3 linked regions of the Nothobranchius furzeri genome follow. The protein of the gene in region 1 interacts with the protein of each later gene in a pairwise test. Links are inferred from orthologs where the notes say so. Each region holds a gene or a part of one and is shown in the gene's direction. Other genes may lie near its edges.

Region 1 (4,342 bases):
CATTGGGTTTCCTACTGCCAAAAAAATAAAAAGAATGGGAATCTTTGAGCCGATAAAATTAATTTTCTAATCCTGTTAGATATGATATAACGTGTCATGTCTGTGAACTTTAAAGACCTATTTTGATGCCAAGAAAGAGCTTATTGTCAACAGGTGGCAAAAGTTATTTTAGGGTTTTTTTTAGGTGTTGTGTGAACACATGCTGGACTACAACTCCTCGTCTCACCAAATGTCATCAAACCAGGCATGGAGAAGAAAAATGGCTGTGAGTTTAACGAGCTTCCAATCCTTCTTCCAGGATGAAAGAAGGAACATTAAACGTGTAGAAAACCACCATAAATCTTGCGATGATGTAAGCAGCAGCTACGCTAGGGGAGAGGAGATTCTGTGGTGACATCATAAATGTGACTTCTGATTTGTAGTTTTTTTTAATTATGGATATTTACAAACTAATAAATCTCAAATTACATGACATAGTCAAAACACACATCATTACCAGATTCTTACTTCACTCCCACTTCCTGTTTGAAAAATGCAACAAATTTTGTGGCCTAGCACACCAAGAGGGCGGAGCCACTAAAACACACGCACACACGCACGCACACACACACACACACACACACACCTACACACACACACACACACACACACACACACACACACACACACACACACACACACACACAGGCTCACAACTACATTGTGACATCAAATGGTACCAGCTAATGTTCTAGGATACCCCTTAGCCAATAGCGATGGCAGATTTAAATTCAAATGCAGTGCAGAGAGTTTACCTGACAACAGCACAACACTGACAGTTTTAGGCAGAAAATTAAAATTTTAACTAAAATGCACTAAAGTGTTAATCTATTGACTACACGTGTCTGCAGCACGATTAGACACTCATTTATTTAGGGTGATTTGGGGGTGACTTGCTCTTTAAGTATGTACGATGCGTGTGATTTAGGGCGAGAGGATAAATGGACCCAGAAAATAACTTTTTGACTTCATTCATTTCTTTTTTTTTTTTTCAGGAGACCCATGGCTTTGGCTACCTATAGATCATTTTGATTTCTTCTAAAATTTCAGGACCATTTTTTAAAAGTTGATCCATAATGAGCAGAGTGTCATAATTAAACATGTACTGTGTTCGTTAGCCTCAATTAAATATTACTGATCCTGGCCAGCTGGGTTGAGGTTGTCGACCATTTTCACTAACAACATTACTTATTAATTTAATGTAAACAAAAACGTCTTTAAAACTCTTCAACTATTTAAAAACTGACTCTTGTTGAGACAAATGCTTTGAATCCAGCCTCCTGTCTGGGTTTCTCCCTGCTCTCATTTGAAGTCTCTAAAAGAGAGAAAGGGAGGGAGGGAGGGGGGAGGAGGTCTGTTTTTTAGAGGGGAGGCGGGATCTTGTGACTCACCAGCAACTTCCTCAGTAGTAGGACAAAAGTAGCCGGCAAACTGCATCCATCAGAGGTCTGACTTCAGTCAGAACTTAGAAAGTTTTACAGAGACGCTGTTGGAGGACCTGACTGATCCTAGATCTGATCAGAGCTGGACTCAGCAGACAGAAAAGAGTGCTGGGAAGGTGCTTCCTCTCTCCTGGTAAGAATAAATTTACATCCCTCATGGATTTTTCTACTTTTTTTCCCAGATAAACTACTTTAAAACTGATATTTGAACAAATTCATTGGCGTGTACAAAGTTTCAGGCCCATTTAAAATACCAAGTGAAGCTTTAACAGAAAATAAAGGTTCAGAAAGAATCAATGAAGTCTGAGCATTAAAGAAATGTTGGGATTATAAGCCACTGGATATTGTTTTATAAAAGGATGGCATGTGGTGTATCAGGGCAAAGGGTGAGTAGAGTCCAAAATTTAACATACTTTTCTGTTTCTTTATGATTTCATCAGTAAAAGTGAATAAACAGGTGGTGGATAAAGGTTTAGCCTTTCAGTAAAATGTCCCAGAAAATTACAACAGATGTCTGCATTATCACACCTATTTTTGTCGCTCTGCTTAACGCTTGTCTCTTATACAGAAATAAATTAACCAGTGAGCCAAAAACCATATAAATAACATCATCTTGGTGGGAAAACGGGCTCTGCTGGCTTATGTGAGCCACTTACCTGTATTTAAGCAGGATTAAGAGCACAACATTGGTGTGTGAGCCTTCAGAAAGCCTAAACGTGTCATCTCAGTGGCAGGAGGAAGTGGGATAGAGCAGTGTGCGTCTGCTTGGGTGTGTCTGTGCTGCAGCGTCTGGAGTCGTTTTGGCTGAACATCAATACGTCGCATTACATAGTGAGCTGTCATCATCGTAACGTCTGCTAGGCACACGTGTTGCTTCATGTGGGAGCTGGAGGAAGGGCAAAGTGTTCAGACTTGTTAATAAGAAGGATGGATAAAGATGTGGGATGGAGAAACTGCAAGTCCTCACACAGTCCTTCGTTGTGTTGTCTTGGCTTTAGTTGGAAGGACAGTCAGAGACATTAGAGGCGTGAAATGTGAAACGGGCGATTATTAAGGGAACGTTTCACTTATTTGACTGATTTCTGGATATCAAAGCAAAGGATCACGTTGAATGTTTGCATCATGAACTTCTTGTTGCATCAAACCAGAAGCGACACACTGAAACTATGCTAAAGCCCTCCAACTACAATCCCTTTCCTTATTGATTTGTTTCACCTTTTCCAGGTTAGCATTCTCCACTTGTGCACCAGTTTGTGTCTGATTGGATTTGGCTCTTCCTCAGAAGATTGCACACCAAATTATTGAGAGATTTAGTGTGAAAATTTCATTCACGGCGGCTGAAAGCACAGAAAATGAGAGCAAAACTGTGCGATTAGGAGGAAAATGCTAAACCGACTTCAGAGATCATGCATCGAATGAAGCAGAGCTATATGATTTCAGGAAAACATGCAACCGCAATTTTTTTTATTGTAACAGTCAGTGATATCCACAGCATAAAGCCACATGTTGGAACACCGTCCATGGCTGTGGGCATTCAGGGGAGCATATGATTGCAGTTTGTTTCCAATTAGTTGGAATCTTTTGTGTTATTGCGGTCTCATATTGATAAATCAGTACGGTTAAAACATGATATATTGTTAAAACGTTCATTTATTTACATTTCAAGAGTAATCATAAACCCTGCTGCATCGTACATGAGCTGTGGTTGGTTGAATTCTTTACTGATACTTTAATACATGTGCAGGGGTCTCTAGTAGGAAGGAACACCTTGTAAGTCATTCTCTGGAGGGAAAAGCTCTGGCGTGCCTGTTTGAGGACGTAGAAGTCAGCCGGAGGAGAAAGACGCTTCAGACGATAGGATTGGGAGTCTTATTTCCTAAGATTTGGACATCTCTATTGGGATTTGGATGACAGCAACGCGGCTCTGCCAAAGCTGATTTTTTTATCCCCACAAATAATACAAGCCTGAAGGAGTTCTGCTGTGTGGTGGAGTTGCTAATGCTAACGTTAGCTTCTACTCTGCTGTTTGCTAGATGCTAAACTAACAACAGCCTTCCCCATTGCGAGCCAAGATAGGCGAGTCCATGAATGTTAAATGACAGTTTGACGTGGATCTGTCAGGCTTTTCTGAACCAAGCATTTTTTTTCGAGTAGTTTCTATCAGAAGCAAATGCAGGACATAAGTGTAGGAGACTGTTTTCAACATTCAGTCTGTGTGTTAAACTCAGAGTGACCGATCATTTTTAAAAATAAGAAGTAAAAAAAGGTTTTTCAGTGAACCTGCTCTTTGCATAACGTGTATTTGAACCTGAGCTCAGCCCGTCCTCACTAACACAACAGCCAAAGCCACTCCAGCTCTGCTCTTTTCTGTCTGTAGCTGCAGAATTTATAGCCTGGAGGGCTTGGAGGAATCCTGCTGTGCTCTCCCCACTGACAGGTTATTTTTACACAAACTCTTTGTCCTGGTAACAAGCAGAAATAATTCTCTAGCAGCCAAAACTCTAGTCATTCTATCCCATTTAGCAGCTGGGAAGTTTGCCTTGACAGAGCCCACAGGCTGTACAACGTATTTGTTTTCTTTTTTCCCGTCTTCCTCCCTCTCCGTTTCATTGACCATGCTCACATTCCTCGGAGGTCTCAGTGTTTTCCAAAGGTTAGCCCTTAGCCCAGCGCGATGGTTGGAGCACGGCCAGTTCTAAACTGCACTGGGATGACGGCTGAACAGCTCGGACTGGTTTTATGCGTTGGCACCATTTGAAACAGAGATAATGATGGAGGAAGTCAAGTGTATGCAGGTGGTTTGGGAGCAGAATTTAGATTTGTGTTGATCCAGTCCTCCTTTGAAATATGCGATTCTGAGG
Region 2 (4,109 bases), on another chromosome or scaffold:
AGGTCTGCTGCTAAATATTGGCTAAATATCTGGTTACTTTTTAACGAAGTTACAGCGGTGCTGATGACAAATATACAGGAAGCAGCGTCCTGACCAATCACAGGCTTGCAGTCTCCGTCACTTTCGACGGATGTTTAAAATTTTGGGCTTGTCTCCGTCACCCTCTGTGAGCCTGTCGGAGAGCCCTTGCGCCGACTTATAATGGTGCTGCGTGTCTCCGCATTGATGCAGACGGAGAAGTATAAATCAGGCCACACATGGGAGTGGGTCTAAGTCTCTGGGCGACGGCTTATTTGATGCAATGTGTCCTTCTACGGGAGCCCATGAGGACAAATTTCATTTACTGATTAGCAACAAGCGGTTACAAAACTTTTGTCATTCTTAAATGTTGTTTTACACATGTACATCTTCACTTGTTGCCAGTGATGAAAGAGTGTCTGAGGGTGACGGTGGCACAGGAGTTAAGTGCTCGCCCCGTAATCGGAAGGTTGCAGGTTCGAGCCCCGCTCAGTCTGTCGCTGTCGTTGTGTCCTTGGGCAAGACACTTAACCCACGTTGCCTGCTGGTGGTGGTCGGAGGGACCGGTGGCGCCAGAGCTCGGCAGCCTCGCCTCTGTCAGTGCGCCCCAGGGCAGCTGTGGCTACATCGTAGCTCATCCCCACCAGTGTGTGAATGTGTGTGTGAATGGGTGAATGACTGATTGTGTTGTAACGTGCCTTGGGGGGTTCCAGGACTCTAGAAGGTGCTATATCAAATAAAGGCCGTTTACCATTTACCATTTATTTTGCAAAAGTTTACACTCCCCAGGGCTTTTTGACCCTAATGGATATCCGTTGGCATGGTCTTACTCCAACACAAAAAAACTGCTTGCAACGATTTAGGTATCTACCGCCCCCTATCGCCAGGAAAAATACACACTGTCACTTTAAGTGTTTGTTATATAACACATTTATAATTACACTTTTTCAAGAGGTCATGTGATACTTTTTACCTAAAAGCTGAAATATCATTATTATGCATGATTTATAAAACAAGGATTTAAAATATTCTGCTTCCCAGACTCACCTGATGTTTGACAGCAATTCATTAATCTGCCTGTTTCGCTAAATGCATTTAGTTAACATAAATAATGAAAGGGGTCGAAAACAAAAACATTCAGAAAACAAAACCAGGCTCATATCAATAAAAACATATTTGTTTACCGTGTCTCTCCGTTTTCTGTGTTTACTGTCCTTCTTCCTGTTTTTCCAGCGTAGCCTCAACGTCACCAGCAGCCACGCAGTTACGTGCTCGTTCACTGTGCTGTCACGCGCTTAAGTGAAAGACGTCCCGTCCCCGCTGCGTCGTTTGCGCGCAGCTTCGCTCCTGATGCTCTCCTTTTCCCGACAACCTGAGGATCGATGTTTCGATTTCAGGTGAGCATTGGTCCGTGTAAGTGAGCCTGGACCCCACCAGAACCGGGAGGTTTGTGTGTATCGAATGTTCTCTTGTGGTTCTGGTCCGCGTGAGGCTTCTGGCCTTTGTTTATGCGGCTGCCAGACTTCAATGCGGTCTGCGGCCTGTGAAGCAGCCCGCTTTCCTGGTGACGTGAGCCGGAGGGACGGCTAGCCTCCCCGTCCTCTGTCGGCCCAGATAACCCGGCTGTGTGATTCGTATCGTGTTGCTGTACAGGGCCAGACTGCGGTCACTAACCCGACATGATTTTATTTGACAGATTTTCTACTGATGTGTTTTATGTGATGTAATGTCCAGGTTAGCACCGAAGCTAACTGGTCCTCGGGCTGTCTGCAGGATGTCTGAGGGTCGCGTGCAGCTTTTCTGCTTCACCGTGATTTAAGTTTAGATTATCAGTAAAGGAAACCCCCACTAGCTTCATTTACAGTCATCTTTAGTTCTGCATTTAGACTCTTAGCAAATGTAGAGCAAGAGTTGGGACTGGGTTATTCTAGACCCTTTGACTGATGAGATAAAATTAGGTAAAAAGGTGGTCTTAACAGGTACTTGTAAACTTTTCAATTCAAGTTTATTTATAAAGCGCCAAATCACGACAAGAGTTGTCTCAAGGCACTTCACATAATAAACATTCCAATTCAGGTCAGTTCATTAAGCCAATCAGAAAAAAGTTTCCTATATAAGGAACCCAGCGGGTCGCATCAAGTCACTGACTAGTGTCTGTGACTATACAGCAATCCTCATACTTAACAAGCATATAGCTACAGTGGAGAGGAAAACTCCTTTTTAACAGGAAGAAACCTCCAGAGGATCCTGGCTCGGTATAAGCAGCCATCCTCCACGACTCACTGGGAATGGAGAAGATCTAAAGTGGTTTCCTGTTCAGTCTGAGACTCTGAACCTTTCCTATTTAGGTCCTTATTATCTACAAAAATCAACAAACCTGTGCGGCAGCTCACCAGGCTCTGCAGCAGCCTGTTAATCACAGCAGATTCAAACCAGGTGTGTTTAAGCAGAGAAACAACTAAAACCTGCTGGATAGCGGCCCTCTAGGGCCAAGCCCCCCCCCAGTTCTACACCATGGAGCAACCAGCTTTTACTTTTTAACATAACAGAAACCTGATCTTGACTCAGTCCAGAGGTGGTGGTGACCTCTTTAGACTATCTGGGATTGACCAAACTCACTGGGAAAATGGGAATTACAACGGTCTTCCAAGTTTTTGTTGGAGGAATTGGACTCCATATGGACTGGAACCAAAGAAGAGGATCATCCAGACTGGTGTCAGCACCAGGTCCAAAACCCAGGTTCTGTAGTGGATGTGGACCTGTGTTCTGTAAGGGTACGGGTTTGGATCCGGGTATTTTGTCTTCATGTCTTCTGAATCGGGACTCTAACAAATTTTGCAGGACGAAATATTGTCCAACAAGTTATTGACAATAAATGATATTATTGTCGACGTTATCGAGATAACCACTAATGTAATGTTAATCATTCATATTAATGCAAGTACATCCTTTAAAATGCAACAATTAAGCCTTTAACTTCAGTGATATGTTTTCGGCAGTAATGAAACGTCTGAGCTCTGCCTGGTTCCTTTGAGGTCGTAGAGATCTACGTTATTGATTATAGACAATTTCTGAAAATACAGATCTCTAGCCTCCATCACGGTTTTATTCCTGTTAGGAAACCTTGTTGTTTTTTATCCATCTTCTTGACTCTTGTTCTGCTTCAACTTCATCTGCGCCGCGGCTTCCCCTAACATTAGGAGTCACATGGCGCTGGTTCTCCCACGCTCCGCTTGGCCTTGAGTCGGAAAGGGGTGTGTCTTCTCCTGGTCTGGGACTGAACAAGTATCTCGGATTCTCGTTCATGAGTGAGGAAAAGATGGAGCATGAGATCGACAGGCGGATTGGTGCGATGCAGTGATGTAGGCGTTGTACCGGTCTGTCGTGGCCAAAAGAGCAGAGCAAGAAGCCAAAGTTCTGGATTTCTTGGTCGATCTACGTTCCATGGTCGAAATGAGTTTTCTCCAGGGTGGCCGGGTTCTTCCTTAGAGCTAGAGAGGAGCCAGTTGAGGTGGCTTGAGCACCTGGTTAGGATGGCTCTTGGATGCCTCCTTGGTAAGGTTTTCTGGGCACGTCCAACCATGTGGAGACCTAAAGGAAGACCCAGGACACGCTGGAGGGACTGCGTTTTTCGACTGGCCAGGGAACACTTTGGGTTTCCCCCGGAGGATCTGGTCCACGTGGCTGGGGAGAGGGAAGTCTGGGCCTCCCTGCTTAAGCTGCTGCCCCCATGACCCGACCCCTTATAATGGGAAGAGATTGGATGGATGGATGGAGACATACGATTTGCTGTTGTGACCCTTGAAGGGACAAGCCAGAAGATATGAAAACTGTAAAATTACAACAAGCTGAATCGATTTTCTGAATATTTCGGCAAATAAACTGGAAATCATTTCAGGATTATTAGTTTTGAAAGTAATGAAGCTACTCGTGATTGTGTTTGGTCCCGTGTGCAGAGAAGATGTGCGTGTTTTCGTTGATTTAGCATTTTTTTATGTTTAGTTCGCATTCCTCCTGGTTCCTAACTCATCCGCTCTTCCTGTTTGCCCGGTCAGTCCCTGGATGACGACTGTACGCTGGAGGAGGAAGAT
Region 3 (4,077 bases), on another chromosome or scaffold:
ATTAAATCGTCGCTAAACATTAACATGTTTGGATAACTTTTTTCAAGAGAAACGCAGGTTAGAAACGTCATCGCTCTAATGTACGCGCTGACAGAGCATACACATCTCGGCACAACACCTGTGCCGTTTCGAACCGAACCCACTGGTTAAAAAGGACCTACGTGTTTTAAACTGAGTGTGGGACCGCACCACTGACCCTTCACCAGACCGCTCCGGACTCCCAACGACAGCTCGTACAGCGCGGCTCGGTTCCGTCCACAGTTTGATTCCCCCGGTTTTCCGGATCCTCCTTCTTCTTCTGCAGAGCACACAGCGCAGAGGTACACTGCCGCCCCCTGCTGGCAGAAAGGCTAAATCAGCTCTTCCGACAGCACGGTTCTCTCCCACTGCCAACTCGTGTAACCTGCTCCCGTCCTGTCAGGAATACCAGATGCCTCCCGACGCCGGAAACAGAATTCCAAAGGGTCACGTTTCATGTTAAGGCTGTGATCAAAGCTACATCTTCTCTAGCATCAGCAGCACCCACCTTGTGATTCCCTCAGAGGACTGAAGAATTTCCTTCTGTTACAAACACTTCAAATCAAACGCAGCTACATAATTTTTCCATTATACGCAAAAGCCAGAGGAGTTACTTTTGATAACATTTATCCATAAGATGTAATGGCGAGGTTAATGACACATACTTTTTACCCATCGGTTGTAGAAACAATGCAAATTCCTTCTTTTCTTGTAGTGAATCATCATCAGGTTCATTCCAGGGAATTCAGAATTAGTCGCTGACTGATGATTTCCTTATGGTCTAGCAGCAAAACTACTCCTGGCCTGAAATGGGAAGTCGTGATTAATAATAACTTACCAGATATTATTTACACACATGCAAAAGTTCCGCCTAGCCCGTTCTGCACCACCTGTCATACCTCAGACCGCTGTCACACCTACTATAAAGTACTTATGAATGAATGAACGAATGAATGAATGATCATAACTGAACACACCACGAACTCGTACATGAAACGGTTAATTCTTTTATTTTGTTTAGAGAAACACTTTATTGAAACACTGAGCTCTGTCGTCACGTCACGGTCATCACGTGACTTCGACCATGTTACAAAAAAGACCTCGGGAGGTTTTTAACCACAGTGTGTGTGTGTGTGTGTGTGTGTGTGTGTGTGTGTGTGTGTGTGTGTGTGTGTGTGTGTGTGTGTGTGTGTGAAGAAAAAGTAAGGGTGTGAGGAACAACCGGATGTGACGTAGAAGCACAGGCGTGACTACCAAACATGGCGTCGCTGTGGTCCTTGCTGCCGTCCCGAACAGGTAATGGCTTCCAGCTCTGTAACGCTCCCGCCGCGGCTGGACCTGACCGTGTCTCGTTGCTTTCAGCCCTGCTGCCGCTTGCCTCGGTGAGGTTCGCGTCTAAGAAGTCTGGAGGCAGCACCAAGAACACCGGAGGGAACAGCCCCGGACGCAGATATGGCTTCAAGAAGCAGGATGGTAATGTTTACCTTCTCAGTGGTCTATGCACGTGACCGCCCTGGGACTGGAGATGGGTCATGTCCGGGTCGGGTCGTACCACGGCTCCCTGACACTCAGCTTGAAGCGGGGTGGCCATATTTCCTATAGAGGACAGGGGATCTGTGCCTATGACGTCACACTATGACAAAACCACACAGACCACGTTAGGACCATTTTTTTCCCCAGGTGAAGAACTAACATTAATATCAGATTCTGCCAATAAAAGGGCTCTAAAACAATTCATGTGTAAATATTTAGCATATTTACTGCAAAATCTCATTTTTCTGCTTTAGTGCTGCAACAAGGTTTTATTAATAATAAATTATTATACCTTTTGTTTTACTACAGCATCGGTAAGCTTCCTGTGCACAGATTATTAAGGATGCTTGTTTCAGCTGTGAGATTAGACGATAGGATCAATGAAAAAATAAGTTGTCACACACTCCATGGAAACTTTCAGAGAATCCACAAATAGTGGCTTTCAAATGGTTTTGTTACTTTTTACAAGTTTAGAAAAGCAGCAGATGAGACAGCGTGTCTGATAATTTACTTTTTCATCTGATAATATTAGAACATGTCAGTAATGTCTGAGGGGCTTTTATAAACACCGTATAACTAACACTACTGGAGAGGGCATGAATTACACAGAGGCTTCTGGGGAGCCCAGTTATGGGGGTGGGGGGTGTTTCGTTTTGCCTTGGCCCCCAAAATGCCTTGAAACGGCCCTGGGTGTGTGACTGAGTTGTGAAGGTGATCTGAATTGTATCAGATGTATAAATATTACATGTGTATAACTTATTGTTTTATACAGGTAAAAATGTGTAGTGCAGATAAATCTACCTACATTTTACTTTCTTGTTCTTATTGAACTATTTCCTGTCCTGTCTGTCTCTCATCTTCCTGCATCTCCTCTAGCCTAGTGAAGTAGACCAAACTCTTGCTTTGCAAAGTTTGCCGGATGCAGCGGGCGCACCAACGATCAGCGCTCTGCGTCTTCTCCACTCAACAGAACCCCGCTGCACTGAGAGTCCATAAATATTGTAATATAGGCAGAAACTGGATCTTTCCCTGGAAGATATCTAGCCCCCATAACTGGATCCCTGCTCCTGCATGAAAAACCGGACATTTTGATCAAAGTAGGAACGCCCCGGACAGAGAATGAAGATTAGACATGTGCGGGGGAAAGAGGACATACGGTCAGCCTAGTTTAAGAGGTTGGACTGGCGCTAAACCACCATGGCTCCCAAGCCCAGCCACAGCTGCAGCTCCCTGCAGGGATGGCTCAGAAACGGAGATGAGTGTCACCAGTGTGTGATGACTGAAAGTTTAAAGAGCAAGTCACCCCCCAAGTCAACTGTTTTTGCTGATAAATTATATAAATGAGTGTCTAGTCGTGCTGTAGACACGTGTAGTCAATATTTTGGCACTTTAGTGCATCTTGGTTAAAGTTTAAATACTCAGCCAAAAACTGTTGCTGTTGCACCGTAATCCGGTAGAAACTCTGCACTGCATTTGAATCTAAATCTGCCTTCGCTATTTGCTAAGAAGCACCCTCTGACGTCAGCTGGTACCATATGATGTCATAATGTTGTTGAGAGCCTGTGTGTGTGCGTGTGTGTGTGTGTGTGTGTGTGTTAGCGGCTCCACCCTCAGTCTGCCAGGCAACAGCATCCGTTGCATTTTTCAAGCAGGAAGCGGAGTTAAGTCTCTGGTAGGGGGTGACTTGGTCTTTAAGTCTCTGGCAGGGGGTGACTTGCTCTTTAAGTCTCTGGTAGGGGGTGACTTGCTCTTAAAGGCAGGTGGGATAGTTCCCCTCTTAGTCCATTCTAAGTATTCCCTCATCCAAAAAAGCAGTTTCACAGAGAACGTCAATTAAAATAAGAGATTATTCATAATAAACGCAGAACGTTAGAACTGGGACAGAAACATGGGGTGACTGGTTCAGGTCCGATGGTGAAACTGGTTAGCAGGTGTTCAGGTTCTTGCCCAGATTGACCTGAACCTCCTGCCCACGGGGAGTGGTTGGAACAGCAGCGATGCAGCCTCAGAGCCGTGGGTGGGAGGGTGCAGGGTCCTGCGTTTCACCTGTTTGTCCCTCGCAGTGGTCCCCACGTACGTGACCCTGGAGGTGAGGATGGACTCGATGATGGACGGGTATATTTTGGAGCCTCATCACAGTTCTGAGTTTCTTTAGCGACCATGCAAACCTGAACACAAATGCCCAGTTCGACCAGTAGGGGGCACTAACGTGACATGAGCATTGAAGTAGAAATCCTGTTTTAAAGGAACAAACTACAGTTTTGGTTGGCTAGAGGCCGTTTTAAGCTTGGTTTATGCTTGACGCATTCACTTTCCGCTTGGTGATGCGGCTCGTGGCAGGAACACGCTTCACAACTCGCAGCGTTTGTGGTTCATGCGGCAACATCTTTGAATTAATATTTTCCCCAGAACTTTATTGAACAAAAGTAAGTTACGTGTAAGAAAAATGCTTTTTACTGGCGCACAGTGTGGTCATCTGGATGCAGTGGAGGAAAATAAAGGAACCAGCAAAGGCAGAACCGGTCC

The links.
Region 2: the proteins of fhl3a (region 1) and patl1 interact in binary tests that used the Homo sapiens proteins (3 or more experiments, as listed by UniProt). The two-hybrid records come from large-scale screens. The link is inferred for Nothobranchius furzeri from reciprocal best matches to the Homo sapiens genes FHL3 and PATL1.
Region 3: the proteins of fhl3a (region 1) and mrpl27 interact in binary tests that used the Homo sapiens proteins (3 or more experiments, as listed by UniProt). The two-hybrid records come from large-scale screens. The link is inferred for Nothobranchius furzeri from reciprocal best matches to the Homo sapiens genes FHL3 and MRPL27.

The regions. Positions count from the first base shown.
Region 1 is NC_091745.1:70,520,226-70,524,567, forward strand, and holds the start of fhl3a (four and a half LIM domains protein 3), read left to right. Parts: upstream 1-1,472; 5' UTR 1,473-1,614; intron 1,615-4,342. UniProt on the Homo sapiens protein: Recruited by SOX15 to FOXK1 promoters where it acts as a transcriptional coactivator of FOXK1.
Region 2 is NC_091746.1:29,999,346-30,003,454, forward strand, and holds the start of patl1 (protein PAT1 homolog 1), read left to right. Parts: upstream 1-1,281; 5' UTR 1,282-1,400; coding exon 1,401-1,415; intron 1,416-4,073; coding exon 4,074-4,109. UniProt on the Homo sapiens protein: RNA-binding protein involved in deadenylation-dependent decapping of mRNAs, leading to the degradation of mRNAs. Acts as a scaffold protein that connects deadenylation and decapping machinery.
Region 3 is NC_091756.1:2,484,039-2,488,115, reverse strand, and holds the start of mrpl27 (large ribosomal subunit protein bL27m), read left to right. Parts: upstream 1-1,167; 5' UTR 1,168-1,277; coding exon 1,278-1,314; intron 1,315-1,380; coding exon 1,381-1,491; intron 1,492-1,497; exon of another isoform or gene 1,498-4,077.